Linked DNA regions of Diceros bicornis minor. The protein of the gene in region 3 interacts with the protein of the main gene of each other region in a pairwise test. Links are inferred from orthologs where the notes say so. Each region holds a gene or a part of one and is shown on either strand. Other genes may lie near its edges.

Evidence for each region.
Region 1: the proteins of CEP70 (region 3) and PIMREG interact in binary tests that used the Homo sapiens proteins (3 or more experiments, as listed by UniProt). The two-hybrid records come from large-scale screens. The link is inferred for Diceros bicornis minor from reciprocal best matches to the Homo sapiens genes CEP70 and PIMREG.
Region 2: the proteins of CEP70 (region 3) and FAM133A interact in binary tests that used the Homo sapiens proteins (3 or more experiments, as listed by UniProt). The two-hybrid records come from large-scale screens. The link is inferred for Diceros bicornis minor from reciprocal best matches to the Homo sapiens genes CEP70 and FAM133A.
Region 4: the proteins of CEP70 (region 3) and ENKD1 interact in binary tests that used the Homo sapiens proteins (3 or more experiments, as listed by UniProt). The link is inferred for Diceros bicornis minor from reciprocal best matches to the Homo sapiens genes CEP70 and ENKD1.

Annotation. Positions count from the first base shown.
Region 1 is NC_080757.1:12,900,548-12,907,974, forward strand, and holds the start of PIMREG (protein PIMREG), read left to right. Parts: upstream 1-4,424; 5' UTR 4,425-4,500; intron 4,501-5,047; 5' UTR 5,048-5,081; coding exon 5,082-5,375; intron 5,376-7,055; coding exon 7,056-7,351; intron 7,352-7,427. UniProt on the Homo sapiens protein: During mitosis, may play a role in the control of metaphase-to-anaphase transition.
Region 2 is NC_080781.1:87,219,373-87,226,210, forward strand, and holds the start of FAM133A (protein FAM133A), read left to right. Parts: upstream 1-3,834; 5' UTR 3,835-3,886; intron 3,887-4,203; exon of another isoform or gene 4,204-4,258; intron 4,259-4,657; 5' UTR 4,658-4,727; intron 4,728-6,838. Other genes in the region: NAP1L3 (nucleosome assembly protein 1-like 3), read right to left, coding at 1,892-3,313.
Region 3 is NC_080741.1:14,632,285-14,639,173, reverse strand, and holds the start of CEP70 (centrosomal protein of 70 kDa), read right to left. Parts: upstream 3,001-6,889; 5' UTR 2,928-3,000; intron 2,673-2,927; exon of another isoform or gene 2,510-2,672; intron 2,393-2,509; exon of another isoform or gene 2,164-2,392; intron 1-2,163. Other genes in the region: FAIM (fas apoptotic inhibitory molecule 1), read left to right, coding at 6,232-6,398.
Region 4 is NC_080771.1:19,462,171-19,469,980, reverse strand, and holds the start of ENKD1 (enkurin domain-containing protein 1), read left to right. Parts: upstream 1-4,800; 5' UTR 4,801-4,912; coding exon 4,913-5,126; intron 5,127-5,222; coding exon 5,223-5,417; intron 5,418-6,018; coding exon 6,019-6,191; intron 6,192-7,708; coding exon 7,709-7,810. Other genes in the region: C32H16orf86 (uncharacterized protein C16orf86 homolog), read right to left, coding at 2,843-3,252, 3,356-3,573, 3,781-3,789, 3,949-4,178, 4,397-4,501. UniProt on the Homo sapiens protein: Microtubule-binding protein which regulates microtubule organization and stability. Promotes the stability of astral microtubules and facilitates the proper orientation of the mitotic spindle.

The DNA.
Region 1 (7,427 bases), on a different chromosome or scaffold from region 3:
CCCGCAAGAGGATGTGACATTGTGGCAGGAGGGCAGGGGGGCAGGTTTCTGGCTCAGGAGAACACTAAAATGGAGTAAGAGAAGGGTGCAGGTTTGGGGGAAGTTGTGGAGCCCTCCCCAGCACCACTTCTGTCTCCCCTACGAGGTCTGGCTGGGGGCATTGGCTCTCCTGTCCCCCTTGGAGGGTCTCAGCCCTGTGCCTGAGGCCCAGGCAGAGCCTGCTCAGGGCATCAGGGATCCCCTTTCTGTTCCAAAAGTGAGAAATGTGAAGGCTTGGTGTTTGGCGCCACCTTGTGGCCTGTTCAAGTTCTTATGCTTCGTCTCCTCAGAGCTCTGAGGGTGCTGGAGGATTCTGAGCACCAAAGCCTTCCTCTTCTTGACTCCAGAGGGACTTGTTACAGGGAGAAGGGACACGGGGCCCCACCACAGGCAGAGACGAGAACTGGACTAGCAGCCGATAGACATGCCTCCAAAGAGCTGATCCCACCTCTTATTTTCTGAACTGTGGCCTTGGGTGTCCCCCATCCTAACTCCAGTTTCCCAGCTGAACCAGGAAAATCGACCTCTCCTGCCTCCCTCTCCAGGAAGTGGAGGGCCTCCCTGGAGCAGTGAGTGGGACCCCAAAACGGCACACCCAAGAGTCTTGACTCCCATGAGGAGCCGGTGGCATAGAGGGGGCCAAGTCTGGGCCAGCTGGTCTGGACCAGAGAACCCAGACTGGGGTAGTCGGATCAGGCCCTTCCAGGACCCCTCCCTGAGCGCCCAGACCCCCCGGCCCCCAGGGCCCAGCTCCATCCCTCTCTGGGGGCAGGGGATCAGGGTGGGGGTGCAGAGGCCCTTCTCTTCCGTTCCAGCCAGCCATCTGCATGCATAGGAGGGAAGACGGATACTTAGATGACAAAACTACAAAGAAAAATAAAAGCGACTACCATAAAAGTCCAGGGACGGAGGGAGGACACACAACAGGGGGTGGGGGCTGCTTCTGGGGTCCCAGTAATGTGCTGTCTCTTCACCCAGGTGATGGGTACACGGCTGTTGGCTTTACACGTATTCATTATACGAGACTTGATGTTTTCGCCATTTTTCTGCCAGTGATAAAATTCACAACGAAGAAAAAGGTCTAATCACGTCTCACACTGCTTAAAACTCTCCCGCTGTTTCCGTTGCTTCCCTCTGTAGAAGGGTCAGGAGGCACCCACGGATTAGAGGAGGTAGAACTGAGAGGTTTGGCAGACGGTGGGCGGGGTGAGAGGTGGGGGCATGAAGGGAGGGGGTGTTAAAGCTGATGACCGGGGTTTCACTGCTTTGAAGAATGAGATGCTTAGGCCAGAGCCTCCAGACGGATCCCCCCGCCACCCCTTGGCCCCCAAACTAACCTCCTAATGGACTTCATTAAATTGCAGCTCTAACAACCCCACGGTCCTCTCAAAACTCAGGCTTCCCTCTGCCCTCAGGATAAATTCTAAGCTCCTTCCCCGGTCAAGGGAGCCCTGCAGCCCCTACCTCTTGCCACCCCGGCCCCGCCCTCTCCATCTCACTCAGCCTGGGCAGTCCCCTTGCAGATCTCTCAATCAGAAAACCTCTTCCCCTCGCTTTGTCCTCCTAACTCCTCAGCTAAAACATGATATGCTGAGGGCAGCCTACCCTCACCCCCAAATCAAGTGGGGTTCCCCAACCCCCTTACACCCCCTCGTCGCCCCTAGCACTTCGCATTCGTGGCATCTTGCAGAGTTTAATGTCTGCTGCTTCCATCACACTGACAGCTCCATGAGGTCCAGGAAACCGGTGGAAGCTTTGCTGTTGGACAGGGAGCCCCCGGGGCGGGGCAGGGCTGGAGCTCCTCCTTCACTCCTCCATCCTCCTCCCCAGCAGAGGCGAGGACGGAGCTGGACCCCAAAAAGCCTCAGCTCGGAACAACTGTGGTTTTTCCTCCTTACGAGGAGGAGCAGGAGCCCCTGCGCCCACCGCCCCTCCGCTGGGCACCTGCTCACCTCAGCGCATCCTCCGTGCTGCTCCCTCACTTCACTCCCTGCAGGGCAGAGGGAGAGCCTTCCCATTCAGGTTTCTTCCTCCTCCTATCGTTGCCATGGAGACTGATCCTGTGCACCTGGCCCGCCAGTTATGGTTCTGAGGGAAGGGGGTGTGAAGCCCCAAGCAGGGAGGGCCTTGTCTCTGGTTCATTCACTCATTCATTCAGGCTGTGTAATCTAAGGTTAAGAATTCAGGTTTTCGAGTCAGACATCCAAGATTTAAGATCCAGCTCTGACTCTCCATCCCAACTTTGGTAAGACACTTGACCCACCTGAATCTCAGTTGTGTCATCTGTAATTTGTCATAGAGTCACCGTGAGGATTAAGGAAGAATAAAGGAATTCACTTATCGCACACGTGTTAAGGGCTCAACCAACTTAAGCTATCGTATTGACGCCAGTGAGGTGCCAGGCACTGCTAGAGGCACGGAGACAAGGCCTTGACGCAATTGTAACAAGGCAACCCAATTTGAGAGACTTTTTTTCTAAGTCTTTCCCACACTTTCAACTTAGTTTTCATAAAACAACTCTTGCTTTCCCCCTTATGTCTCGTTGGTAGAGGACCTGAACTACATTCTTTAATTCCAATAACAAATATAACTGGCACAAACAGGGCTGGGAACAAACACCTCTGATGCTTGGGAAATAACTTAATGGGGGAAAAGGGGGAAGAGGCAGACCAGAGCAGGGTTGTTCAAACTGCAGCTCACACCTCAGTAGGGAGCCATTGGGAGCTGTCACCAGCATGTTAAAAAAAATGAAGTAGATAATAAAATATCAAAGCCCATCACACAGTTTCAGGAAAGCTTGTTTCATTAAACATATGTGTGTGTGCTGGGCATCTTACACGGGTACTGTTCAATGTTGCCTTGAACATTCCTGTGCGAGAAGACCCTCCACACACGCATTCACACACGCACACACACACACGCACGTACATTCTTTGCTTGGTCAACTCATTCTCTGGATCTCAGCTTTAAATGACGTAATTTTTGTGTCATAATATTCTTTGATTAATTGATTATTATTTGACTCGTTAATGCCGGTCTCTCCCCACACACTAGATTTGAGCTCCGTGGGGGTAAGGAATGCGTCTGTTTGTTGACCTTTGGTCCATTTTTAGCACAGTGCTTCATCTGTCAGACACCAGTAGATATTTGGAAAGACATGAGAGGGGACACGGGGAGGGAGGAGGAGGGTTGGGAGAGACCAGGGTGACGTCGATTGGGGCGTGTGGGTTTAAGGTGCCTACAGCCCCAGGAGGAGATGGGCATGAGGGGACAGGCACAGGCTAAGGAAGGGCAATGTGGTGTGGTGTGGTGTGGTGGTGCAGCACGTGGACGCTGGTGCCAGACTGACAGAGTTTGAATCCTTGGCCCTGCTTTGTACTAACTAAGGGAGATTGGGACCCAACCGAAGCTCTCTCTGCCTCAGTCTCCTCCTCTCCTCTAGGCTGCAATGAGGGTCAGATGAGTTCATAATATACAGTGCTTGGGACACAGCTTCCTGGTGCACAGTGAGCGCCCCATACATGCTCATCACACTCACCATCCCGTGGGGGGTCACTGAGGCCAGAGAGTGGGTGAGATCACCCAGAGATAAAGAAGAGGCTAAGGACAGAGCTTCTAGGAGCCCTTCAGCTGAGACATCAGCAAGAGAGTGGCCAGAGAGGTGAGGGGGCGGGTTAAACCAGGTGAGGATGGGGACAGTGGCCAGTGCTGCTGTGAGGTCAGGTAAAAGAGGGAGATGGTGGCGGGAGATTTCTAGAGGAAGGCATTCGACTGGAGAGAGAGGAGCGTCAGTGGGGCACACCGGGTGTGGGGAGGGGGCTCATTGGAGGAGGGCTGGGTGATGTACTCTGGTCTGTTCTCTCTTCCAGGATGGGATTTCCTGGGGGCAGAGTTTGGTGGAGTCTGGGGAACACAGGAGGGCAGTGCCTCGTCTCCGGAAGGCAGAGAGAAGTTTGAAACAAAACCTCCACGGGAACCCAGGGCTCCGAGCTCCCAGCTGCCGGCTGTTTCTGACGGATAATCTGAGACTCTGGACAGGATGGGAGGGTCCCCAGGAGCCCGGGCCCGTGTCTCTGCCCCGCCCAGTCCGACCAGCCTGAACCCTTTGCATTTCGAGGAGGGGCCGCAGTGGCCTGGGGCCGAGCGTCCGCGAGGGGGCGCGGGGGCTGGGCCGGCGAGGGGCGCGGTCGGGACCCGCAGTTACAAAGGAGAAGCATCTCGTCGCGCCAAGCCTGGCGCGGTCCTGAGGGATGAATGGGAACGGCCGGGCCAATCCGCGGGCAGGATTCACAGCCGCGAGAGCAGGGAGCCAATCGGATCCCGGGCGCGGCAGCGATGCGGGAACGGAGCCAATCAGCTGTGACGACAGGACCAGGGGCGGATCCGCGCGGAGTTTCAAATCGGCCGGAGTGGGCGAGGAGCAGCTGTGCCGGGCGTCCGGTCGACGTTGGGGGCTGTTGGGTGAGTGCGGGCCGGGCCGTAGTGGGGCTTCTGTTCTGAAGGGACCGGGGCGGAGCGGGTAGGATGGGCACGGCACGTGGGCGTCTGGGTATTGCAAGGTGGAAATCGGGGTGTCTGGTCAGTATGCGGGGTCCTGGCGGGATCGCGTTGGGTCAGCGCGAGTTTGTGAAAGAGCCGCTGATGGTGCCCTGGCCAAGTGCTGAGGCTCGGGAGGGCCGGTCCTGACTCTGCCTCCCTCCCTGAGGCAGGAAGCGGAAAGCAGGCTGGGATGGAAGGACAGCTGTTTTAGACACTTGCAGCAAGGGACTGCAGGAGATGCTGACCGGCCTTGTACAGCCTCTGCCCTCTTCTGGGCCTCGCTGCCCTCGCCTTCTAGGAAGCATCCTCCTTCCTATTCCCACAGTTGCCGAGTGCCCTCACCCCCGGCCTCGGCCATCCACCCCACCCCATGGGCCTCCGTCCCATCTCTTCCCCTGTACCCAGGGTCTCTGTGGAGCCTGGGCATGGGGGATGCCTTGCTGACCTGCCTTTTGACCTCCTTCCCAAGGTCTGGTGGACAGAATAGACTCTTGGCCAGGCAGATGGCCTCTCGGTGGCCAAGCGTGGGGGTCTCCTTGCGCCGAAGATCTCTCCAGGACCAGGAGCAGCTGGAGGAGAGTGAGATGCTGCAGCCTGCAGTCAGCCATCCGGAGACCTCCAGTGGGGCCCTGGGCTCTCTGTGCAGACAGTTCCAAAGGAGGCTGCCTCTGAGAGCAGTCAGCCTCAACCTGGGGGTGGGCCCCTCCTGGAAACGCCTGGAAGCCCCAGAGCCAGGGCAGCAGGGTCTCCAGGCTGCGGCCCGCTCAGCTAAGAACGCCTTGGGTGCCGTGTCCCAGGTAATGCTGACAGCGCGAACCATCAATTTATGGAGGGCTTCCTCGGTGCTGACAGCTGCTGCCCTCAAGGAGCCCCAAAGAATACAGAGTCCAAGAGGACAGGGACATTGATGTTTTCATTGCTGTGTCCCAGCACCCCAAATAATTCCTGGCACTCAACAAATAGTTGAATGAGTGAAGGAAAACAGTGTCATGGAGGAAATAGATCCTCACAGTACAAGGTGATAAGAGCTGTATTGTGATAGGAAATTGCAAGGAGTGGCTGATGGGGGGTGACACCAAAAACAAGCTCGGTGGGTGAAGCCTTCCCAGAGGAGGTGATTCCGCAGAATTCACCCACAAAAGAGGAAGAATGAGGAATGTATGAGGCAGGTGCAATAGTGTGAGTCCAGAGCCAGAAATGAAGGAGAACTGACAGGCGCTTAGTCTGGGTGTGGCCAGAGAACAGAGAGCAAGCTGGTGCAAGAGAGAGGGATCTGGTGTGCTGAAGGTGTTAGACTCTCCCAAGAGTGATAGGGAGCCATGGGAACCAGTGGGAAGAATTTTCAACAGGGTGGGAATAGGGTCCAATTAGCATATTAGAATTTGTTCTTTAGCTACTCGATGGAAAAGGAGTTAGAAGAAGATTCCCCCTAAGGGGGCCTGGGGCCCTAGCCTTACAGAGGAGTGAACAACTTTAAGAGCTACTCAGAAGGTAGATGTGAGAAGATTTGGTATCAGATGAGATGTGTGGGCAAGAAGATATCACATATGTTGGGTGTGAGGTACCTGTGGGCCTTCAAAGTGGGTGTGTCTTCAAACCCGGAGCTGGAGATGTGGAAAGGTGTCCCCTAGAAAGGACAGAGGCCATGAGAGTGACTAGACCTCCAAGGAGAGAACTGGGGGGAGGGAGGAATCTCCTTTGTGTCTGATTGAGAATCTCAAGATTTGGGAGAGGGAAGCTGTTTCTGAACCCTTTGCAGAAAGGTCTCTGAGCCAAATGTTAGTCCTTGTCTGGAAGAGCCCTGTGATTGTTTTATACCCCAGGGATCAGAGAAATGAAATGAGGTAGGCTGCCCAAGGTCACCAAAGTTACTCACCGAAGGTAACTCGAGTCTCTAACCTCCAGACTCTGGTTTGCCGAGGCAAAGACAGCCTGGCTGAGGAAGAGCCTTCACAGCCGTGCCCCAGCTGGAGTGAAAGGCCCATGAGTTAGGGCTTGATCCTGTGGGCAGTGAGAGCCATAGAAGGGTTTTGAGCTGTTGAGTGTCATGGTCAGAGCTGCCCTTGAGAAGGATCTCTGCGCACAAATGTGGAGGATGGATAAAGTGAGTGAGACCAGAGGCAGGGAGACCAATTATCTCATGGTATCCTGGGGGGTCAGCCTGGTCTTCCCTGGGCCTTGCCTTTGATTCTTTGGGTCAACGTGTGTCCCACAACAGGGGCTGGGCTTAGACAAATGCAGGCTCCACGTCCAAGAATGGTTCTGCTGTGACCACTGCTCTCACACCCAGCTCTGAGCTGGGTCCCTGCCATGCACCCATTTCACACAGACTCATCCACATCCCTCACTCCTGAGACTAAAAGCTGCCTGTACTTGCAGGATAGCTGGTGGGCCAAGTGGGTAGAGGTACAGCCTGGAGACTCGGGGTAGCTCCTCCTTGGCTTGTCTGTGCTCACCTTTCCGTGTACCTGTCACAGAGAATCCAGGAGTCCTGCCAAAGTGGTACCAAGTGGCTGGTGGAAACCCAGGTGAAAGCCAGGAGGAGGAAGAGAGGGACACAGAAGGGCAGTAGCCCCCCAGCTCGCAGCCTGAGCCAGAGGAGCACCCGGCTGTCTGGAGCTGCCCCTGCCCACTCAACCCTGGACCCCTGGGAGAGGGAGCATCACGGCCTCTCCGCCCAGATAGGCCCACGTGGCCACCCCCTGCGACGGGCCAGGAGGGAGGCTGCCTTCCGGAGCCCCTACTCCTCGACAGAGCCCCTCTGCTCCCCCAGGTATGAGGAAAATGCCCTGCCCCAAAATACCAACTGGGCCCCAGGGGCTTCTGAGCCCCTTCTGGGGCTACCTGGA
Region 2 (6,838 bases), on a different chromosome or scaffold from region 3:
AATTTGCTTCCTGATTTTGTATAAATTATAACAACCTAAATATCCAAACATAGGTGATTGGTTAAATATAGTATGTCATGGGTTGTAATATTTTTATATTCATAGACATGGAGGAGGAACTGTTGTTAAGAAGGGATAAAAGCAAGATACTAAACTATATATGGTGAGATTTGGGAAGACTATTAGGTAATTTTATGCCTAGAAACCCAGAAATTCCCAAATACTGTCTTCCTCCTGCCACAGCTCTTTCCTGTAAGGTCTTGAAGGAAAATACATGTGGACAGGGAAATGGCGAATGTCAAATAAGATGCCACTTTATTATGTGTTGTGCTTGTTCCTTTGTGCCCAGTGCAAAGCTCTCTGGTGAGTTTAAGGGGCCTCCACTTCACGCTAATTTCAAACCAAAATCTCAGGATCTAATTACCCTGTAACCAGCTGCATGGTGCAGAAGAGGTAAGAGCATGATGTCACCTGTAAGAAAAAATAAGCCACATTTGAGAGTGTGACCTCCTCCCAAGTCAGGGTGGAGGGTGGGCCTAGGTCATTTACCCACTCTACTCATGGAAGTGAAAGCAACAGCTTATATAGATGTCTTTTCAGGGTGAGGCACTCCTCTCCTCCCCTTCCTCTTCTTCCCCATCCCCACTCCCTCCCCCCCTCCTCCAGCCCTCTCCCTTCCTTCCCTCCTCTACTTTCCCTTCCTCCTCCCTCACACCCTTTTCTCCTTCCACCATCCTCCCCTTTCCTTCTCCTCACCCTCCCTCCCTCCTTCTTCCCTCTCCCTCCCCACTTTCTCTTCTCCCACCCTTTTCCCCTTTCCTTCCCCCTCCCTCCTCCTCTTCTCTTCCTCCCCCATCCCATTTCTCTCCAATCACTTGAATGTGTATCCTCCAAAGAAGAGCTAAGTTCTGGGAAATATATCAGAATGTTAATAATAGTTACATTTTTTAAAATTTCCCTTTTCCTCAGTATTTTCTACTTTTTCTATAATAGGCATATTTTTTATAATTAGGAGAAAATGCTAGATTCTCATAGCATGATACACTTTATTTGACATTTATTTATTTTAGGTTGTAATAGAAGAACATGAAAAAAATCAAATGATGTAAAGTGATCATTTTCAATGAAAGGCAAAGTAGAACATATACAAAGAAAATATGGTTAGTAACTTTAGTTTACAATTACACAGTATAAGATGAGGAAACATTTTTTTAAATACTGGGTCATATTAACACCTCGGTGGTAAACAATAACTTCATTATGATTAAATTTATAGACCAGTATGTCAAATAAATAAGCACACAGTTGTATCATATATGGTTTTGATGGACATTCTTAAATGTATGCTAATCTTTTTTCAAGTAATTAAATTTTACAATAGACTGTTCTAGTTGGTATAATCACTGTATTCCTATAGCAAAGTAATGAAGGCACAGCTAGTGCAAGCAGATTTAAACCCTTAGTTTTCTGGGCTGGAAAAAGAAAAAAAAAACACTTGCATTGATACTTCAGGAACTTTTTTTTCAAATATTTGTCTCAGTTAACAATTCTGACAGTTTTCACAGCTATATTCTGGTAGGAACATGACAAAAAGACTTCACAAAAATCAAAACTCTGTAGCACCAAACTAACATGCTTTAGATAATTGACAGCAGTTTACATATTTTGAAGAATATTACACTACAACAGGCGAGATAGAATAAATTGATACTTAAGACAATTTTTTAGACTACCAAGAAAATATGAAAACACCAGACTGTAAGGAATACTAGTGTTGAGGTTATGAGGCAGGTTTTTTTGTTTGTTTGTTTTTTTCCAACGCTATATAAACCTGCTTCACTTCTGCTTGAAGTTTTGAGATTCTTGAATATTCTTTCAGGCAGCCTCTTTTTTATTTTCGACATTTTCTGTTTCTATAATCTTTGCCATCATCATAGGTACCGTTGACTTCTCCTGTATAGTAATAGATTGATTTCAGGATGACGTTATCATGTAAAATTTGACCAATTTCAAAGTCCTTGTCAAGGATAGCATCTTCTCGTGGTTCCAGCTTTCCGATTTGGGGAATCTCAGGAGGGCTAAAGAAATTGAAAAATGATGCATTAGGAACCACTCTTGGCTGGATTTTAATTTCTCCAGTAGCAGTTGTGCGACTCTGAGTTGTTGTCATGGTAACATCCTTTCCTCTTCTCCAATCTATCTTACAGCCTTTGCAGTCTTGGATTTCCCATCCCCAAGAGAAGAAGGGATCATCGTGATCTGGTTTTGACTTTATTATATATGTCTTGGTCAGCATCTCATCTCTGAAGTATGGGTTGGGTAGAAAATAAAATTCAAATGTGTAACTTATAGGCTGGCCAGGTTTTGAGAACTTCAGGCTAACATCTGACAAAAACTTCAGAATAGGCTCATCATACTTCTGAATCATGGGCCCAAGCTTGTCAACATTCTTTAAAACAGTCAGCCAGTAGTCAGGAATGCCTTTAGGATCTTCTTTTTTAGGCTTTCCCTTACGAGCTCTTTTAAGATTCACTCTTTCTTTAGGCCTGACCTCAGGAACTCTTTTAGAAGCCTCTTTTACTCCAGCCCTTGCCTTAGCCTCTACTGCCTTAGGCTGTCCTTTATCTTCTGCCTTTGCCTGGGGGACTTCTTTAGCATCTTCTTTTACTTCAGGCTTTGCCTCCAGCAAATCTTTAGACTCTGCTTTTTCTTCAGCCTTTGCCTCAGGAATTTCGTTAGGTACCTCATTTTCTTCAGCCTTTACCTCAAGTTTTTCTTTAGGGTCGTCTTCTTCCTCACCTTCTAAGGCAGGCATTTCACTAGGGCTGTCTTCCTGCACCTCCTCATCACTGCTGAACACCTCATCCTCTGAATTCCATTCACATTCTTCTTCTGTAGGTTCATATTCTGCATTGATGATTTGAAATCGCCGATCATATAGAGGCTTATTGAGTTCAGCATATTTTCGTTCGAGATCGTGAATTGCCTTTAAGAACAGAGCGTCTACCTTGTCACATTCATCTTGAATATTTCTGAGCGCCTGCACACGATTTCTAACTGACTGAGGCAGCCGGTCCACGAAATTTTTACCCGACGGAGCCCGCCGCGCCCTTCTGGAAGGCCCAGGTACCCTCTTCTTTCTATATAAGCGGCTGCGGCTACTGCTGCTGCCACTGCTGCTGTAACTAGTGCTTCTGCTCGAGCTACTGCTGTCAGATTCTTCCCCAGAATCGCTAGACGAGCTAGCCAGCATCTCTTCAGCAACCCCCTGGGCGGCAGGTCCCGAGACCATGTTAAGATCCGCTTCTGCCATTTTGCAAGCCAGTAAACCTCTAAAGGTGGTGACTACTGCTGAGACCGCGCGCCCAGAGATGGGCAGAAAATGACTCACGGATGCTTGGGTGGCGGCAGCGGCCCGGGCTGAGAAGGTGGCAGCGGCGAAGGCAGCAGCAGCGTGGGGCGGGACTGGGCTGCGGCGATCGCGCGGAGGTGACAGCGGCAGTGGAAGCCTGCGCGAGAGCGGCGGTGGCAAGGCCTCTCCCGGCTGCCGCCGCGGTGGACAGAGGCGTGCCGCAGCCGAATAGCGCTGTGTGAGACCCCAAGTTCTCTTCACGGTTTAGATCGGCAGCCCCCTCCCCTTGCAGTCAGACCTCCTGTTAGTTTAGTTCCCAGGGTGCCTTTAGCTCGCGCCTCATTTGCTGGGCAAGTTTGATTGACAGTCCCTAAGCCCAATGAATGACCAAACGCACCGCCCGCCTTCCAGGCTCCGCCCATCTTCCCAGACGCTCCTTGGTAGCTGAGGCACACACCCCTGGAAGACGATTTTTCCCCTTTAAATTCTACCTTTATAGTTTTATAATTCAAAAAAAAAAAGCTTAGATATGAGGTAAAAATACTAGCCATAGTTCCTAACAAGGGAAGAGGAGTATCTTTCTCCCATCCGCTCATCCTAAATTCCCGTTTGGTTTATCAGGGGCCTCTTGACAAAAATCTGTTTTTAAAAAATTGGATGAAAGTACTCCAAGTGGCATCATTGGGTAGTGTGATTATGGATGATTTTTTTTAATCTATTTTATCTAAATATTCTATGAGCATGTATTTTTACACTGGAAAAAAGGAGAGTCGTTTATTGGCAAAGGAGGGAGGGGCTAGAAAGCAGGCATGTTGCATTCCACGTAGCAGTTTTAATAAGTGCTGTCTGTGATGTTTGGCAAGCCTGCTTTATATCCATCTACAAGGTTTTCGAGCCCATGTTGCCGTGAGTCAGTTGCACCATTTTTACTATATTTCTCTCTTTAAGCTGGCGTATAATGTACCTCAACCTTGCTGCTGACTTGCCAGTTAGCCCTTCAAACCTTGTAGATAAAATAAAAGGGTATTCAAATGTTAGGTAGTATTGTTTAAAAGCAGAAGGTTTGCTCTATACTTTTGTGCAGCAGTTTTCAATTCCACAAACAGCAGAATGGGAGGGGAATTTGTGCTGATAAACGTGCATCCTCTGTCAATATATACTTCACAATGTCATCTACCACCAATTTCCTTCTAACATTGTAAAATTCTAGCCATATTAAAAGTATGATTTACAAGTCCAGAAATATGTGAATAAACTTTTGCAAAATGAAATTTAAAAACAGGTATCTGTTATTTTTATTTACAGGATTCTTTTCTGCTACAGAACAACTCCCTTGGTACATCCAAAAAGACCAGTGTTTACCTTTCATTAAAAGGTAAGGAACATATTTAGCCCATTTTTATGAATGACAAGAATTACCTACCTGTATTTGAATAAAAATTCACAGAATATAGTCTTTTAAAGACTTAATTGGAAGATATCTTGATATTTCTATGGAAGCAGAAAAATCCACGGAGGTGATTTGACATACTAATGTAGAAAATAGCCTAATTAATCACATTCACTATCTAAACCTGCTCATAGAATACAAGCAGTAAATTAAAATATGAATTATTTTATTTTAAATGAGGAAAATGTTAGATTAACTTTTATGTTACTTTTTTATTGTAGGATTTGTGCTTTGTCGTTTCATCATATATTTTATAAAAAATTAGGAAGCACTAGTCTTCTATTTTGTAAATGGATCTACTTTTATTGTTTATTTCTGATTGTCAAAGTATATAAGCATTTTAAAGAAAAAATACAATATAGAAAATTCCAATGATAGTAAAAATACACAATCTTAACAACCAAACTATAGCCATTGTTAGCATTTTGATGCATTTCCTTCCAGAAATTTCTTTGTACATATACACACCTGCCTATTTATATACACTGTTTTATCTATGTGACATCATATTATGTTTTGTAATCTGCTCATTTAATTTATCAATTAATTGTGGCTATATTTTCATGGTAAATAATCAACATCTTATTTTAAAATAGATACATATTCCATGGAAATATTTGCCTTAATTTATTTAACCAGATTCCTGTTATAGGGCACCTATTTCCCACACTCTCTCTCCACTAACATACATATATTTTCCTGTTATAAGAAAATTAGCCCTGGATATGTACTGTATGCACTTGTGAAAATTACTCACAGGATGAATTCCTAGAAAGGAGAGGGCTGGAATAAATTGTGTGCTCATTTTACTCTTTGATACATATTGCCAAACTTCTCTCCAGAAAAGTTATCACAATTTACAGTCCCATCAACAATGAATGAGTTCATTTATTTAGTCATTCAGCTAATATATTCCTGTGCTTGCCATGTGCCAAGCATATGTGGTAGAGGATAGCAATAGAATGGTGAATAAAACTTACTAGGTGCATATCTTTTCATTTCATAATTTAAATCAAAACATATACTGTGAAAATGATTTAAATCAATAGAGTTATGACATAAATATTGTTCTACAACTTATTTTCATTTAAAATGATGGACATTTTTTTTAATGAATGATCTTACATTTTTATAGCACTTTAATGGTTTCATATACATGTTAAATTTTGTACCATCAGGAATTAGTATTTTGGAGTAAGAAATGAATTAGGGATCCGTATTTTTAAAAAATATATGTTTTTATTAGCAAATAAAATCTAATAAGTAAAAATTATAAAAAATAAAGGTCTGCTCTCTGTTTCTATAGATTAGTTTGTATTTTCTAGGATGTTATATAAATGGAATCATGTAATATACCCCTCTTTTTACTTGTCTTCTTTCACTTAGCATAATTATTTTGAGATTCATCCATGTTGTTGTGTGCATGGAGAGTCATTTTCCTGTTTTGTTACTGAGTAGTTATCCATTACTTGGAAATACCGCAATTTGTTGATAGGCATTTGTGTTTCGAGTTTTGGGCTACTGTGAATAAAGCTTCTATGTTCATTTGTATATGTCTTTGTATGGACATGTGTTTTCATTTGTTGGTGTGTATATTTAACTTTTTAAGAAATTAGCTGTTTTCCAAAGTGGTTGTACAATTTTGTATTCTCACCAGCAGTGTCAATACTAGGTGTGGTCACTGTTTTTAAATTTAGCCATTTTAATAGGTATGTAGTAGTATCTCATTATGGTTTTACTTTTCATTTTCCTAATGACTAATGATGTTGAACATCTTTTTGTGTACTGATTTACCATCCACATATCTTCTTTGGTGAAGTGTCTATTCATATTTTGCCCATGTTTCTATTAGGTTGTTGTCTTACTATTGAGTTTTGAGAATTCTTTATATACTCTGGATACAAGTGTTTTATCAGATATAAGCTCTGTGAATATTTTCTCCCAATCCGTGGATTTTCTTTTCATCCTCTTAATAGTGCCTTTCATGGTTTTTCAGAGAGCAGAAGTTTGTGATTTTGATGAAGTCCAATTTATCA
Region 3 (6,889 bases):
TTGATTTCTATTCATGCTGTTTAAAAAGCAAGTTCAGAATATCAGTTAACCCATTAACAGTTCCCTTTTCAAACGGAGGCCCAACGAAAACACGGACTAATGTGAATGAAAGCATTTTTAGCTGTTCTCTTAAAATAAAACACTGATGTCTATGGGTAAGTCGGTGAGAGGCAGTTTCAGAGGTTAGAACAGCATCTAGGGTACTTGCCAGGAAACAAGGAAACAATCTGACTGAAAATAAAGTCAAAAGCAGGATCAGGGGCAGCCCAGTGGTGTACTCTGCTTTGGCGGCCCAGAGTTGGTGGGTTCAGATACTGGGAGGCAGACCTCACACCCCTCATCAAGTCATGCTGTGGTGGTGTCCCACATACAAGATAGAGGAAGATTGGCACAGATGTTAGCTTAGGGACAATCTTCCTCACACACACACAAAAAAGCAGGATCAGCCTGGAAGAGTATGTTTTATACTCAAGTTTCACAGTGCTTTTTTCAGAATTTCTTTCTTTCCATAACAATCCTGTCTAGTAACAAGTGACTATTCCTGTCTCCAGTGTCCTAGGCCCAGGGAATGAGCAGGTGGACAATATAGCCCAAACTAGCATGTTCCTTAACTTCAGGTACCCCAGAAACTATACCCAAAGAGGAAATAGTGGCACAGAACAAGCCAGCTGAGGAATCAGACTGCCTTGCCTATTCTGGGTGCAGAATAGGCACCGAGGGGTAGGGTGAACTCCACTGCACTCTGGGGTCCCTGGGCAGAGGGATTCCCCAGGTCTCAAAGACAGGGCCCAGATTTTTCTTCAAGCACAATTAATACTTTTCTAATAATAGGCCCTGTTACCATGAACTTTTCAAATGCCACAGGCCCGCTTCCACATGCTAGCCCTGCAACTTCTGAAGGGCTCTGGGTCTCTCTGTAAAATGGGTGTAAATATTATCACTGGGCTCTAGTGAGCACCACAGGCCATCATATATAAGGCACATAGCAAGCATTCAACAAATTACACCTTATTGGTCTTGTAAAAGATATCCCGACTCCTGAAGTTTTGTAAGAAAATATGATTCTTCATTGAACAATATCTTTGAGCTGCCGCCCAACCAGGGTTTCCTGGTCCTAGCCCAACAACTCAGGATTGTTTTTCTGAAGAAATAAGGACTAGGAAAAAGGAATTAGGGAGGTGTCTTCAGCTAGCCTTGTCCTATCTCTGGAAATTTCCACTCTGGGGCCTTTTACTTTTCCCCTCTAATTCATTCTTTCAACAAGTATTTATTGAAAACTCTCTGTTCAAGACACCAGTGCAGAAGAAAAAAACAAATATGAAAAGTCTTCATCTTTGGGGAGCTTTCAATACAGGGTAGCAAACAAGAAATCAGGGCTCACTAAGCAGAATTCCTGTAACATAACTTGCTGAAGAATTCAGTCATTATTACTTTGCAGACTAACCAGTCTAACAACCTAATCAATAGATTGTTCCCTGTTATCTCTCAACTCTCCCTTCTCTCACACACTTGCTCAGCATCTAGAAACCACACCCACCCTACCGATTGCCAAGGTGAAATAATCCTTCTTTACCTCAACATCAAGCTGCAGGAAGCAACTGCACAATAGGGCCTGGATGCCCCTATGCCCCCAGATCCCCTGGGCCCTCAGAACCCCTCCAGAATCCCTTCACATGTCTCTGTTTTGTTGCTCGGCCCACTCTCCACGGGGACCACTCCCTCTTTCCTCAGATGGCCCACTCAACAACCTTCCTCCCTCTGTGCAGGGGACACTGTCCTTCATTCAATAATTTATCAGAGCCTCCTATGAGCCGGCACTGTGCAGACGTGGGAGATGGAAGAGAGGGAGCCAAGCGGCCACGGTGCCTGCCTTCACATACCTCAGTCTACTATTAAGTTACACATTAATCAAAAGTTACACGAATGATTGCACACCCTGAAAGGAACTAAGAGAATTCCAGGCGCTGCAAGTCTGAGGGGCCGGGATAGTTTTCCTTAAGAAATATTTCAGGAACAATCTCGACAACAAAAATGGAGGGTAACTAAGGGAAGAGGCAGGGAGGCGTGTCCAGGCAGAGGGAAGAGCACTTGCAGAGGCCCTGGGGTGAGAAGGAGCTCGCACCATGTGAGGATCTAAATGAAGCCGGCTGGGCAGGGGCTGCATCGTACACGGGGCCTCACGCCCACAAGGAGCTTTGGTCTCTAAACTAAAGGAGTAACCAGAAGCCATCAACAGGTTGCAAGCAGCGAATGCCGGATCAGGTTTGCCTGCTCCGAGGCTTCAGAGCAGGCCCGGGGGCTGTGTCTGCCCACCTGGTGTCCCCAGCGTCCCGCCCAGCGCCGGCGCTCGGCTGGTTCCTAGGGACGTCTGCCGGCAGGACGCCAGGACGCGGTGCGGGACTATGTTTCCGGGGTGGGGGTGGGGTGAGGCCGGGCCTCCGCGGAGGCAGCGGGCGGGGCTGGCGCGGCCGAGTGGCGAGGCGGCAGCGGCGGCGGCGGCCTGCGCCGGGCACCGCCGGGGCCCGGGAGCGCGACAAAGAGCCGGCGCGCTGGGCTGTAGCTTGCGCGGAGCGGCTGCCGCTCTCGGCGAGGGGAGCAAGGCCCCGCGGCCTACGGCGCCGAGTCTGCCCCTGCATTGCGGGGCCGGAGCCGCCCGCGGCCGCGGCGTGCAGGTGAGACCGCCCCCGGGGGGCGCGGGGGGCGCCCCTGGCAGCCCCCGCGCGCGGCCTGGGCGGCCTTCTCCGGGCGGCGGGGTGTGCGCGGCCCCGGGACCCTGCGGTGAGGCCCGCGCCCGCGCCCGCGCCGGCCGAGTTCCCGCGGCTCCCGTCGGCCGGCCGCGGGCGGGGGCAGCGGGGCGCCCCTCCCCGGCCAGGCCTTGCGACCGGCCGCCCCGGCCTCGGCCTCGTGCCCAACCATACGATTAGTACCTGTCGCTGTGGAAAAGCGGCGCAGAAAAGCCCGGGAAGGAAGCCCGGGAGCCGACCCCCTGCTCCCCGGAGACACCGGGTTACACTGCGCTGCGTTTCTTTCCAGCCCCTTTTTCCCTGTCAGCGTGAGCAGGCTATTTTTGCAGAACTTGGATTATAAAGTGCTGTAACTTGGCTTCTTTCTCTTACTAATCCAGCACGTGCATCTGCCCGCGGCTGTAAGTGTTCCAAGTCGTTTTTGGTGGCCGCGCTAGACTGCGGGCTTGTGTGCCCGCCTGACCGCCGCACCCTGCCGGCGCCGGCCCGGGCCGGGCGTTCAGTTTGTTGAGTGAAGGACTGTGATTTACTTAACGGAGTCCCTCCTTGATGGTGAACATAAAGGTGGTTTTCAGTTTTTAGCTTTTACAAAAAGCAATTCCATTGAGCACTGTTCCTTCTGCTGTTGGGGGCATGATTATTTGTTTAGAGTTAATCCCTCATAAAGCTTGTGCTATAGGTTGCAAAATGGTCCTCAGAAGAGTTTTTCTCGTTTTTGTACCTCCACTAGCGTTTGGGAATACCTGGCTCTAGGAGCTTCCTGACCGACTTTGCTGGAGGTCCCAGTGCTTCACGGGGGACCGGGCGTGCAGTGTCAGCACCCGTTTGTTGAAGGGGGACCTACCTGTGGCTGGCCTTACCGGGAGCTTTGCTGAAAAGGGAACTGTGAGCTTGTTAGTAATTTTAAAAACTGACTTGCGTTCAGCTTGGACAAACCACTGCAGTCCCCAGTACGGTTAAACCTAAGTTAAGGCAACATTCAAGCTGGGGTTAGATGAACAGTGGAAACGTGTTAATGTTTAAGTCGCACTCTGAAATATGGGTGTTGAGTTGCTAGGGAAGGGATTTTAAAAGATTATGGTGATGGGTACCTCACTAGATACTCAAAAAGCTTTCTTTGAAGACATGTAAGAAGTTTCAGATGAGTGACATTGTCCCCGTCAATCAAAATAAATGGAATTTGTTTTCCATCCTTTTCATTTACATTTTTAAAACTTTGTGCTAAAATAGAGGGAAGTTTTCTTTGTCCCTGTTTTCCAGTTTGGTCGCATGATCTTGAACGTTAAGTGTATGTATAGGAGTTTAAAAATGACAGTGGATTAATTCCTTTCTCCCAAGTTTTAAACCGAAGCTTTCCCTGGCCTTGCCACACATTTGGCAGGGCTAGGGTCCTTGCTCTATGGGCCACTCTGTCCTCTACTGCTCCCCTTTACAAGGACACCGCCATGGCTGTGCTGTAATTATCTTTTGGTCTCTCCAGAGTCCCTCACTCTGAGCTTAGTGCCCAGCTCAATGCCTGGCACAGAAGTGACCAATAACTTAGCGTGCTCGATGACCTCAGAATATGACATGTTTATTAAGTCCAGTTTGTAACTTGGATATCTGTGTGTGACAGATATTTCCCGTTTACATGAGTAAAGTAGAAATCGGGGGACAAGGACAGATGTGATCACCTCTTCGTTATAGGTGTAAGTACATTCTAAGAAACACAACCAGCGGGGCAACTAGGTCTTTTTTTTTTTTTAAGCAACTTTGTTGAGGTATAATTCACATACCATACAATTTACCTATTTAAAGCATGAAATTCTTTTTTTAAAGCATGAAACGTTTTTTGTATATTACAGTATGAATTTTTTAAGCTGTGCTAAAACATATATAACATAAAACTGCCATTTTAACCATTTTTAAGTGTACAGTTCGTTGGCATTAAGTACATTCAGAATGTTGTGCAACCATCACCACTGTCTATTTCCAAAACGTTTTTAACACCTGACGTGGATACTCCATAAATAAATGTTGGATGTATGAATGAATGTTGATAGTTTAGAGAAAATTAAAAAAAAAGAGATGTGATCTTGATTTCTAACTCCCTTCTAATTTGTTGTGTTGTCTTTTACACTTCCATATGAAAAGTTATAGTAATTAAGACGCTACCATGCCTTATCTTAATGTGATTTAGTAATATTTGAAGTTCCTTATAATGGAAAACGGGGCAATTCTTTCAAGTTTGAATGCTGCATTACTGAACTTTCTAGAATCTCTAAAAGTTGTAGAGCAAAATTTGAATAATATCCCTAAGTCCACTCTGATTTACAAAGGATGCCTTATCCAAGTTTATATTATGCTGTTTGGCTTGCTCTTTTGCTCTGTTTTCTCTTTGCTTTCACAGTTGCAGGATACCCTCCACCTTCATAGAAGATATCCTAGGGCTTCTTAAGACTAGAAAAATCCACACATTTGTAAGGTGCTAGTAAAAAAAGAGGGATTTATTTTAGGTACAAAGTGTTTTGAATCTTTACCTAGTTTTTATTCTAAAATTCTTAGCTTTTCTTTGCCCACTGGGTTGCTTTCATGGGTGCTAATCTGTTCATCTTTTTAAAAACCGTTTGTGGCTTCTAGCTGTTTCCAGTTTAAGAAAGTTGGCAATCTCTCCTTTTTAACAAGGCGAGAACACCCTTGGGCATCTAGAGGGAGAAGGCTAGAGTAGATCTTGTGAGCAAAAAACGGTTGAGCTTATTTTCCAATAGGTTTGGCAGGGGTACACCTGTTAATCCCAAATCTTCAAATGTGGAGAGTTTCCTAAGCATCTGAGTACATGTGTGCTTCTGATTTTAGTAAAATTTAATTAGCACTACAGCCCAGTTACTGTTTAATTAATTGCACAGGAGTCCTGGGCTCTAGTTCTGGCTTGGGCCCTGCTAGTGACCTAAGCAAACCACGTAACTTCTGTGGATTCCTTACTGGCACTAGTAAATTAAGTGGGCTTGAGTAGGTGGGTAAATTAAGCTTGCTCTTAGAAAGCAAACTAGCATATCCTTGGCTGCTTCCTACAAAATCAACATTTCTTTGAAGTAAAAAAATTTTTTAAATTATATATTCCTCCATAATATAGCCTTCCGAAATTTAGAATAAAGATTGCATTTTAAATTTGTTACCACCCTGTAACGTTGGTTCCTCCAGAAAATGCATTCTGTTTATCCTGGAGTTTTATGTATTCCCTGACCCACTGCCTCATACCCTTGGGGTTTCTTGTGCCTCAATTTGAGAAGCATGGGACCCAGAGGACTTGTCTCTTATGGCTCTGGTGTGGTGTAATACTTGAAATGAACTAGAGTTTATTCTCTAGTTTTGGGAAATTATAAATCCAAACTAGGGAAAAATATGATTGGCCAATTTGTATGATTTAACTTCTCTCCCTGAAAATTAGAGATTGCAATTCTGTTGTATGTAAAAGCTGTTTCATCAGAAACTACATGCAATTTACGAAATGGATTGCAACGTTAGAACAACCCTTTGCAGATGTCATCTTTGTTGCTCTCTTCTTTCTTTGCTGCAATTCTGCTTTTTTCTTTCCTGGCTGCTAATTGGATTAAAGACTATTTTGCCAACCATGGCATCTGGAGATGACAGTCCAATCTTTGAAGATGACGAAAGGTAAATGTCTTGCATTGCAATAAAACTAGCTTTTGAAACTTTCAGGATTGTTTTCATCGTTCAGAAGAGTTATTTATCCAGGCTGCTTTTTTAAGGACACATTTTGTAAGATTGCAGAATGCATGGTTTTGCTTTTCTGTGGTTTAGAACACTGTGTGGGAAATGCCTGGCGTGGAGGTGGCCACCACTAACGTGGCATCCTTTCCCACAGGACCTGGGTGTAAGGTCTCCAAATCCCTCTCAGCACAGAGTTCTTGGAAATCGCTTCAGAATGATATAAAATCCATTTACCATCTCTGATTTAGAGCAAACAAAGGAGATTAGAGTGAATGAAGAGTAGGAGTTAGTTGAGAGAACAGACTCTGGAGCCGGCGTCCTAGGTTTAACTCCCGTCTGCCACTTACTTGACACTGTAACCTTAGACAAGCCCTTAGCCGCTCTGAGCCTCAGTTTCCTCATTTATAAAATAGGGATAATAATAGTACCCATCT
Region 4 (7,810 bases), on a different chromosome or scaffold from region 3:
TTGACTCAGATGCTCCTACTTAAGAAAGCGCCACGTTGCAGATCCACAGTGGCACTTCTTATGTTTTTTTAGGGCTCTGGAGCAAACCTCTTGTTTACAAAGATGAATTCCCAGAAGTCCTGGGGTAGACTGCAGTGGGCTTATGAGGACACCAAGTCCTCTGTTGGCAATCCCCAGAAGCCAGGCCCATGGCCATCCCTCAGACATCTTTACCATCATGTGTGTCTCGAGTTGGTCCCAGAGAGGAGATGTACCTTGAAGTGGCCTAGATGCCCGTAGCTAAGGAAGCCAGCAGGGTTCTGGTACCCAGGGGCGACTGAGCCCACAGATGGTTCCAGGCTTGTCCTGCAGCGCCCCCTCCTGGAGGTAGGCAGCATCACCTCCCAGGATCTGTTTCCCAAATCTCAGGATCTTCCTTGCATCAAAAGTAAATATAAGTTTTTCTAAATCAGTGAAAATGCAGTTAGCTTTTCCTCTCTGATACAGCAGCCAGAAAAGAATTTCCAAAATACCTGTTTCTTATTTTTCAACCCCCAACCAAATCTAGGCCTCAGACAATGGCAGCAGTTTCCTCCCTGGCCCCAGTCTCTCCCTTGGTCTGCCCTTCACAGTGCTGCCTAAACGACCTCTCCAAAATGTCAGGCCAAGATCCCTCCTTGCCTACACCCCTCCTGATCACTCCAGACTCGCCCAACCTGGTCTCCTGATGGCCATGCCTCTGCTTCAGCCACGCTAACTGGCCCTCCTGCACGGGGCTGATCTCTTTCACACTAGCAAGGCTTTGTCCCTGGCATATCTTCTGCCTGGAGTCTCAACTCTCAACTCTGTCCTTCAGGAGTCAGCTGGAGGGTTGCCTCTTTACTACTTCTGCCCTAGGCAAAGTGGCAGTCACCCCCATCACTTGTGGTCCCACTGCCTTGGTCCTTGGCTCTTCCGTGGCACCCGTCTCCCTGTATCGTGCTGTCTCAGCATTTCCCCCTTAGAGTGAGGTTCTAGGAGCAGTAATGGTAACTTGTTCCTTTCTGTGGCTTCTGTCAGCTACCCTGCTTAGATAAGCCTGTCAGGTAATAGGACTCAGGAAATGTAGACCAGTTCTTTCTAATATGGTTACTGTGTATTTTCTTTATCACTTGTTGAAAGATAGGGACAGAGCTTCCTTATCAGTGCTGGCCTGGCCCACACCTCCAGCCCTGGAGACCACACAGAGAAAGCAGATGCTTGGCCTTCTTGGGTCAGGCCCAGGGTCCAAGCAAGAGAGCCCCCAGGTCCACAGATCTGCAGAGCTCTGGAAAGGGCAGGGCCTCCCTGGGGCCCAGGGTGTAGTCTCATGCAAGGCCACTTCTCCAGGCCTCTGCTTCCTCAGTCATAGTGAGGAGCTCAAGCTAGTTATCTGAAGAGCCTTCTACCTCTGAAAAATCCCAGAGAATCCATGCTCATCCCTGTGGACAGTATCTCCTGGGGCAGTCAAATCACTTTCCAAGGAAAAGTGTGGGCAGAAAGAAGAAATATCCTGACTCCATGGCTTACCCTGTGGCCTTGCCATGGGGCCGGTGACCCCTAAAGGAGGGAGCATCCAAATGACCCCTAACGGAGGGAGCAGCTTGGGATAATGCCCATTTTCTTCTTACTTCTTCCATCTGGGCCTGCCCACCCCATCCCTTCTGATGATCTTGCCAGGCCATTATTCCGGGGGCCCCATACATGGTTCTGGACTTTGGATGGCCTCAGCCTTTCAGATCCTGACCTGTCCCTCTCTGCAGCTTCCTCAGCTCCCCACCTTGGTCTCCTTATCTTGATGCCTTTTATGGGGGCCCTCTGCTAGGTGATACAATGTGGTGATGTGTGCCCTTGAGTTCAGTCTAATCCTTCAAGGTGACACCCAGGATTTTTGCTGGAACATTTGTGTAGATGAGATACAGGAGGAAAAGCAGGTTGGAGAGAGAAGAAATTATTCATTTAATTTGGAATTCCCTGTGTTTAAAGTGTCTGAGGGACATGTAGGAAAATCAGGAGGCAGCAGGATATGAGAGTTTCCAAAATGGCCAGCACTAGCTGCCTCTTCCCAGAGACCCCTGAGGTCAAAAAGCAGTAGTCATCTGGTGGCTTGGCCTCAGGGCTCCAGGGAGAACATACACCTCTACCACCACCCCCTGCCTGTCAGGAAAAAGGCACCATTGCCTCTGTCGCCAGGGGCCACTCTGGGGGCAAAGTCTGGTGCAGTTGTGGTCTGGCAATAAGTGGAAAGCATTCCAAAGCTGCCACTCTTGGAGCAGACAAGTGAACTCTGCCACTCTAGAGGGTGGATCCCAAGTGTTGGTCTCCTTGAGGTTGGACCAAATGCAGGCCCCTTCCCTGGGAGATGAAGCAAGACCAAGCACCTGCTTCCTATGATCTGACAGTCCCTTTCCTTTCTCTGCCCCAAGTTTCTCCTTGTCACCTCCCTCTCCATCCCCACTGTTCTCCTGTCTAACCTTCAGGTTCATCTGAGGAGCCTTTAAATGCACAGAACCGGGCCCCACCTGTGCAGATTCTGATTCAGTTAGATGTGGGGTAGTGCCCAGGAATCTATATTTTTGTCAAATTCCTGGGCAATCCAGATGACCAGTCAGGCTTCAAACCGTGCACTGGGGAATCCTCCACCCTTCTTCCCAGCCTCTCCCTCTTCAGGCAGCTTATTTGGGGAATCATAGTCTGAGAAAAGGAAAACGTTTATTTTCAGCAAGTCCAAGGTCCCAAGTGGGGGCAGAGGCCAAATTCCCCCTTCCACCTGAGGGCCTAGGCCCATAGGCTGCTGCTCTGGTTCAGGCTTGGGAGGAGGGGAGCCACGAGTGGGGCGGGACAGTCACTTGTACTGAGGAGAGAGTGGGGGTACAAGTGGAGCCATACAGATACTTAGCATCTTGTCAATGTCCACTTGAGTTGACTTATCCACCTCAGCCTTGAGGCAGCCGCTGACCCCCAAGCTGAGCAAACCCCCAGGCTCCTCTCCAGCTTCCTTTCCCAGGGGAACCAGAGCATGGGTGGGGAACACAAACGTATTGGGGCAGGGCAAAGTAAGGCCTGAGCCCAGCTCACCTGCCACATGTAGCAAGGCCTGCAGTTGCTCCACACCTGCCTCCTCAGGGACCGGGGTCAGCTCCAACTCAGGCTCCACCTCGGCCTCCACCTCCCTGTCTCCCTCCCCTGCCTGGTTCAGCTCAGGGTTGCAATAGTTGATGTACTGGTACAGGGGCCGCAGGCGCTGGGCCTTTCCTGCAAGGACCCAGGGCAGGGCAGGGGCTAGAGTGCCAAGCCGTGCCATGTCAAGGGTCCAGCAGGCAGGGGGAAAGAGGAAGGCCCGGGGACTGCCACTCACGCTCCAGCCCCAAAGTCTCTGAGGGTGCAGACACTGTGCTGGCCACAGCTGGGAGCACTGGGGCTCCCAGACTCTTGCGTTTCTTGGCTTTTTTGTGCTGTTTGGCAGACAGTGACGGCTCACTCTGGCTACTCTCTGGCTCCTCCCTCTGCAGCGGCAGCCCCTGTGGCAGCTCAGTTTCAGCCCTAGGATGGGCTTGGTGACTAGGCCCTGGGAGGCTGGGGGATAGGAGGACCGAGGAGCCAGCCTTCAGCCTTGACTCCTATGTCCTGAGCCTAGGGAATAGCCCTGCCTGCCCACCACCCTGGGACCCGATTCTTGTCCCTTTCCTGGTCAGTGAGGCCCCGGGCTGGTCAGAGGCTGAGAGTTCATGTGAGCTCAGTCCCCTTCAAGGCCTTGAGACTACCTCTCAGGATGGTCCCTACACCAGGGTTCTTGAAGGACAGAAGGGGTGAGGAGTGATGGTGGCAGGGCATAAGGATGCACCCTGCAGGGGTGCAGGATGGATTTAGGAATCCTACTGGATTGTGAGTTGTCGTCCCCCCAGCCCCGCCTCCAGCTCTGCAGCTCCTTCCCTCTGAAAGCCCCCTCACTTGACTGGCTTCCTCTTCGGACCATGACTGAGCCTCACAATGGAGGCCATAGGCCTGGGGCCTCTCTCCTCTAGTGCCTCCACCTCTGGCTTGAGCCTCTCTTCTTCCAGCTTGAGTCGTTCCTGCTGGAGCTCTGGCTCTGACACTGATCCTGCTGGATACTTGTCTGCACCCTGGGTCCGGCAGGCCTCATGGGCTGGCACCAGGCACTGTACTCCCATCACTGGACACTAGAGGTGACACATAGGTAACTAGTTATCATGGCCAGGCAAAGGATACAGGGATCAGTCATTAGACACCTGACATCAGACACCAAATGCGAATGAAGGGCACCAGCCCATGACCCTCCCAGCCTATGAAGCCTGTCCTGGCAGTTAGGGGGTCATCGCACAGAGTTTGGCCTCCTACAGCGCTGCGGCCAAGTGTTTGAAGGCTAGAGACACCTCACCTCAGAGCTCTGAGCGCGGCCACCTAGCGCCTCCGCGAGCTGTGCTGGCTCCACGGCCGTCCCCTCCTGGGCCCCTGGCCGCCTCTGAGCCCCTGATGAGGCCATGGCTGCGCGGGGTCAGCGCATCCTCGACGGTTGCTTGGTCGGCGGGGGGCGGGCCCCGAGGGGCCGGACTGGTGGACCCTGCGCTGACCTTGGAGATCGGCGGAGATCGGCCGGTAGGCGAGAGCCAGGGAAGGGCTACTAGCGGCCGCTCTGCCCCACCCTCAGCAGGAACTACAAGCCCCAGAGGGCTTTGCGCCAGGGGCATTGGCCCCTGACCTCAGGGACGGAAACTATTGTTGCCTGGCAACAGCAAACCCGTCCGGTTGCAGCGGCGGGTGGCAAAACGGCTCGGGTGAGCCCCCTGCCCAGGTGTTGCGGGGGAGGGGCCGCGAACCGGGCAGGGAAGTGGGCTGGAAGCCGAGGCAGCGAGGGCAGGCCGGGGTCGGGAGGCAGGGCGGGGGCCGGGAGAGAATGGAGGGCACGGCCGGGATCAGGGGCCCGGTCCAGGGAGGAGGCATGGGGCTTGAGGACAGGGTTCTGGGGCCGGAGATGCGCAGCCCGGCAGGCCTCGGTCCACCGTTGCAGGGCGACGACGGCGGCATGTGCGAGGGCCCGTCCCGCATCTCGGGGCCCATCCCGCCAGACCCTACGCTCTGCCCTGACTACTACCGGCGGCCGTCCTCAGGTGAGTTGGTGGGTGCCGCGGCCAGGCGAGGCTCGAGCGAGGTTCCCGCCCCGCTCCACCACTGAGCCCCGCACTCCACCCCGTCCGGCCCCTCAGCCCAAGGGCGCCTTGAGGGAAACGCGCTGAAGCTGAACCTGTTGACTTCGGACCCGGACCAGGATGCCACCCCTCCCCGCGGCCCCCGCATGAGCCCCGGAGCCCGAGAGATTCTGGAGCGTGGCCGGCGTGCCGTAGGGGCCGTGTTGCTGCAATTCGGGGATATCTCCGTAGGCCCAGGCGCCTCTCCCAAGAGTAAGTTCTGGGCAGAAGGGGCAGAGAGGCGAGTCTGAGGTCAAAAGCTGAGATCAAAAGGGGGGGCTCCTCCTTCCTGGACCTGGGCTCAGACTTTGCCTCTCGGAGTCTTAGTTTCCCCAACTATAAAAGAAGGAGAAAATGCACTACCTCTTCTCAGGAGAGGACTGAATGAGTCATTCCCTGGGAAACCCTAGCTCAGCTTCATGGATTCAAGCATCAATGAAACGTTGTTTGCTGAGTGTCTACTGTGTGCCAGGCCCTATAGGTGCTAGGAAGACAAGGTTGAAGACAAGCATGGGCCATCATCGAGTCAAGGTGGGAGACAATAAACAAGTGAAGAGATGAATATGATATACAAGATGATTAATGGTATACGTCACAATAAAAATGTAGAAAATAATCAAGGATGGAAGAAGATTACTATATCAGGAAGGGAACAAGGTGATGAGGTGGAATATGTGTATAGGATCTAAGTTGGATGGAGAGGTCAGAGAGATGTTTCTGTAGGAGGGCAGGGTGTGGGCCTGTGTGTGAACTGGTATGAGTTGGATTGCCTGGGCTGTATGTAGGGAAGATCCTGGCAACATCTTTTCCGCAGGGAAGGACCCTAAAGACCATGAGAAGGAGAACCTGAGGCGGATCAGAGAGATCCAAAGGCGCTTCCGTGAGCAGGAGTGCAGCCGGGAGCAGGGCCAGCCCAGGCCCCTGAAGGCTCTGTGGCGCTCGCCCAAATATGACAAAGTGGAGTCCCGGGTCAAGGCCCAGCTGCAGGTACCTGCCTCAGGGAGCCAGAAGTATTGTCTATCTTTTTTTTTTTGGTGAAGAAGATCAGCCCTGAGCTAACATCTGTCGCCAATCCTCCTCTTTTTGCTGAGGAAGACTGGCCCTGGGCTAACATCCATGCCCATCTTCCTCCACTTTATATGGGATGCCGCCACAGCATGGCTTGACAAGCGGTGCATTGGTGCGTGCCCGGGATCCAAACCCCGGGCTGCCGCAGCGGAGCGCACACACTTAACCGCTACGCCACCAGGCCGGCCCCGGTATTGTCTATTTTGTTGCCCAACAGGCAGTTATACCCTATCTGAGTTATGGGGAGAGAGGAAAATCACAGGGGACTAATGTACCAGAGGAGTAAGAGATAGCTGGTTCTATTTCAGGGTGGGGCTGGCGGCTTTCTCAGAAGTGATGATGGCTGGGTGAGGGGCAAGTAGAAATTAGGCAAGGGGAGAATGGAAGAGAACATTCTATAGAGCTAGAACCTCACAGATAGAAGTCCTAAGACCAGAGAGAGTGTGGCCCGTGGGGAGGCTGTGTACAATTCACTGTGAGGGGAGAAGAGCACGAGGTTAGGCTAAGTCAGCTAAACCCACATCATAAAGGGCCATATAATCCACTTCTCAACTTTTATTTCTTTAATTTTTTTTGTGAGGAAGATCAGCCCTGAGCTAACATCCATGCCAATCCTCCTCTTTTTTTTTTCCCCTTTTCTCCCCAAAGCCTCAGTAGATAGTTGTACGTCACAGTTGCACATCCCCCTAGTTGCTGTATGTGGGATGCAGCCTCAGCATGGCCGGACAAGCGGTGCGTCGGTGCGCGCCTGGATCCGAACCTGGGCCGCCAGTAGCGGAGCGCGCGCACTTAACCGCTAAGACACGGGGCCGGCCCCTCAACCTTTATTTCTAAGGGCAGTGGGAAGGGCAGGGACAGGGTTATGGTGGTGGGATTCTGTCTTGGGTAGATAGTGGCACCGTTTCTCTACCCAGTGGTCTCAGAAGAAGGAGCAGGATTGAGAGAAAAAACAATAAGGTCATATGTTGTTCTGTTGAAGCTGAAGCATTTGTGGGACTCCCAGGGGGTAGGAGTGTGTCCAGAAAGCAGATGGAGAGTCAGGTCTGGATCTTGGAAGTGAAATCCAAGTGTTATTGAGGATCAGGCCGAGGACAATGAGATCAGGGAAGTGACCCTGGATTTGAGGGCTTGGAGGCCAGCTATCAGTGACCTTGGTGGGGACAGAGTCTGGAAGCTTGGCTAGGAAGGAGAGAAAAAGAGATTGGTAACTGGAGCCAGGAATGGAGGTAGAAGGAGGGGTAGTTTGTTGTTTTCTTAAAGATGTGAAAGACACATATGTTTAAATGCTGATGAGAAGTGTTCCTTCAAGAGGGAGGAGACCCATAGGGCTGGGATAGAGAAAGATCCTGAGAGGCAGAAACGACAGAGTCATGGTCTTCTGGCTTGAGACCCTGACCTCAGCCTAAATGTTCCCTCTGCTATGTCCTGCCCTCCAGAACCCCAGCCCTGCCTCTGGGACAGAGCCTGCCCACTTCCTACGGGCACATTCCCGCTGTGGCCCTGGGCTCCCACCACCCCGTGTCCCCAGTCCCCAGCTA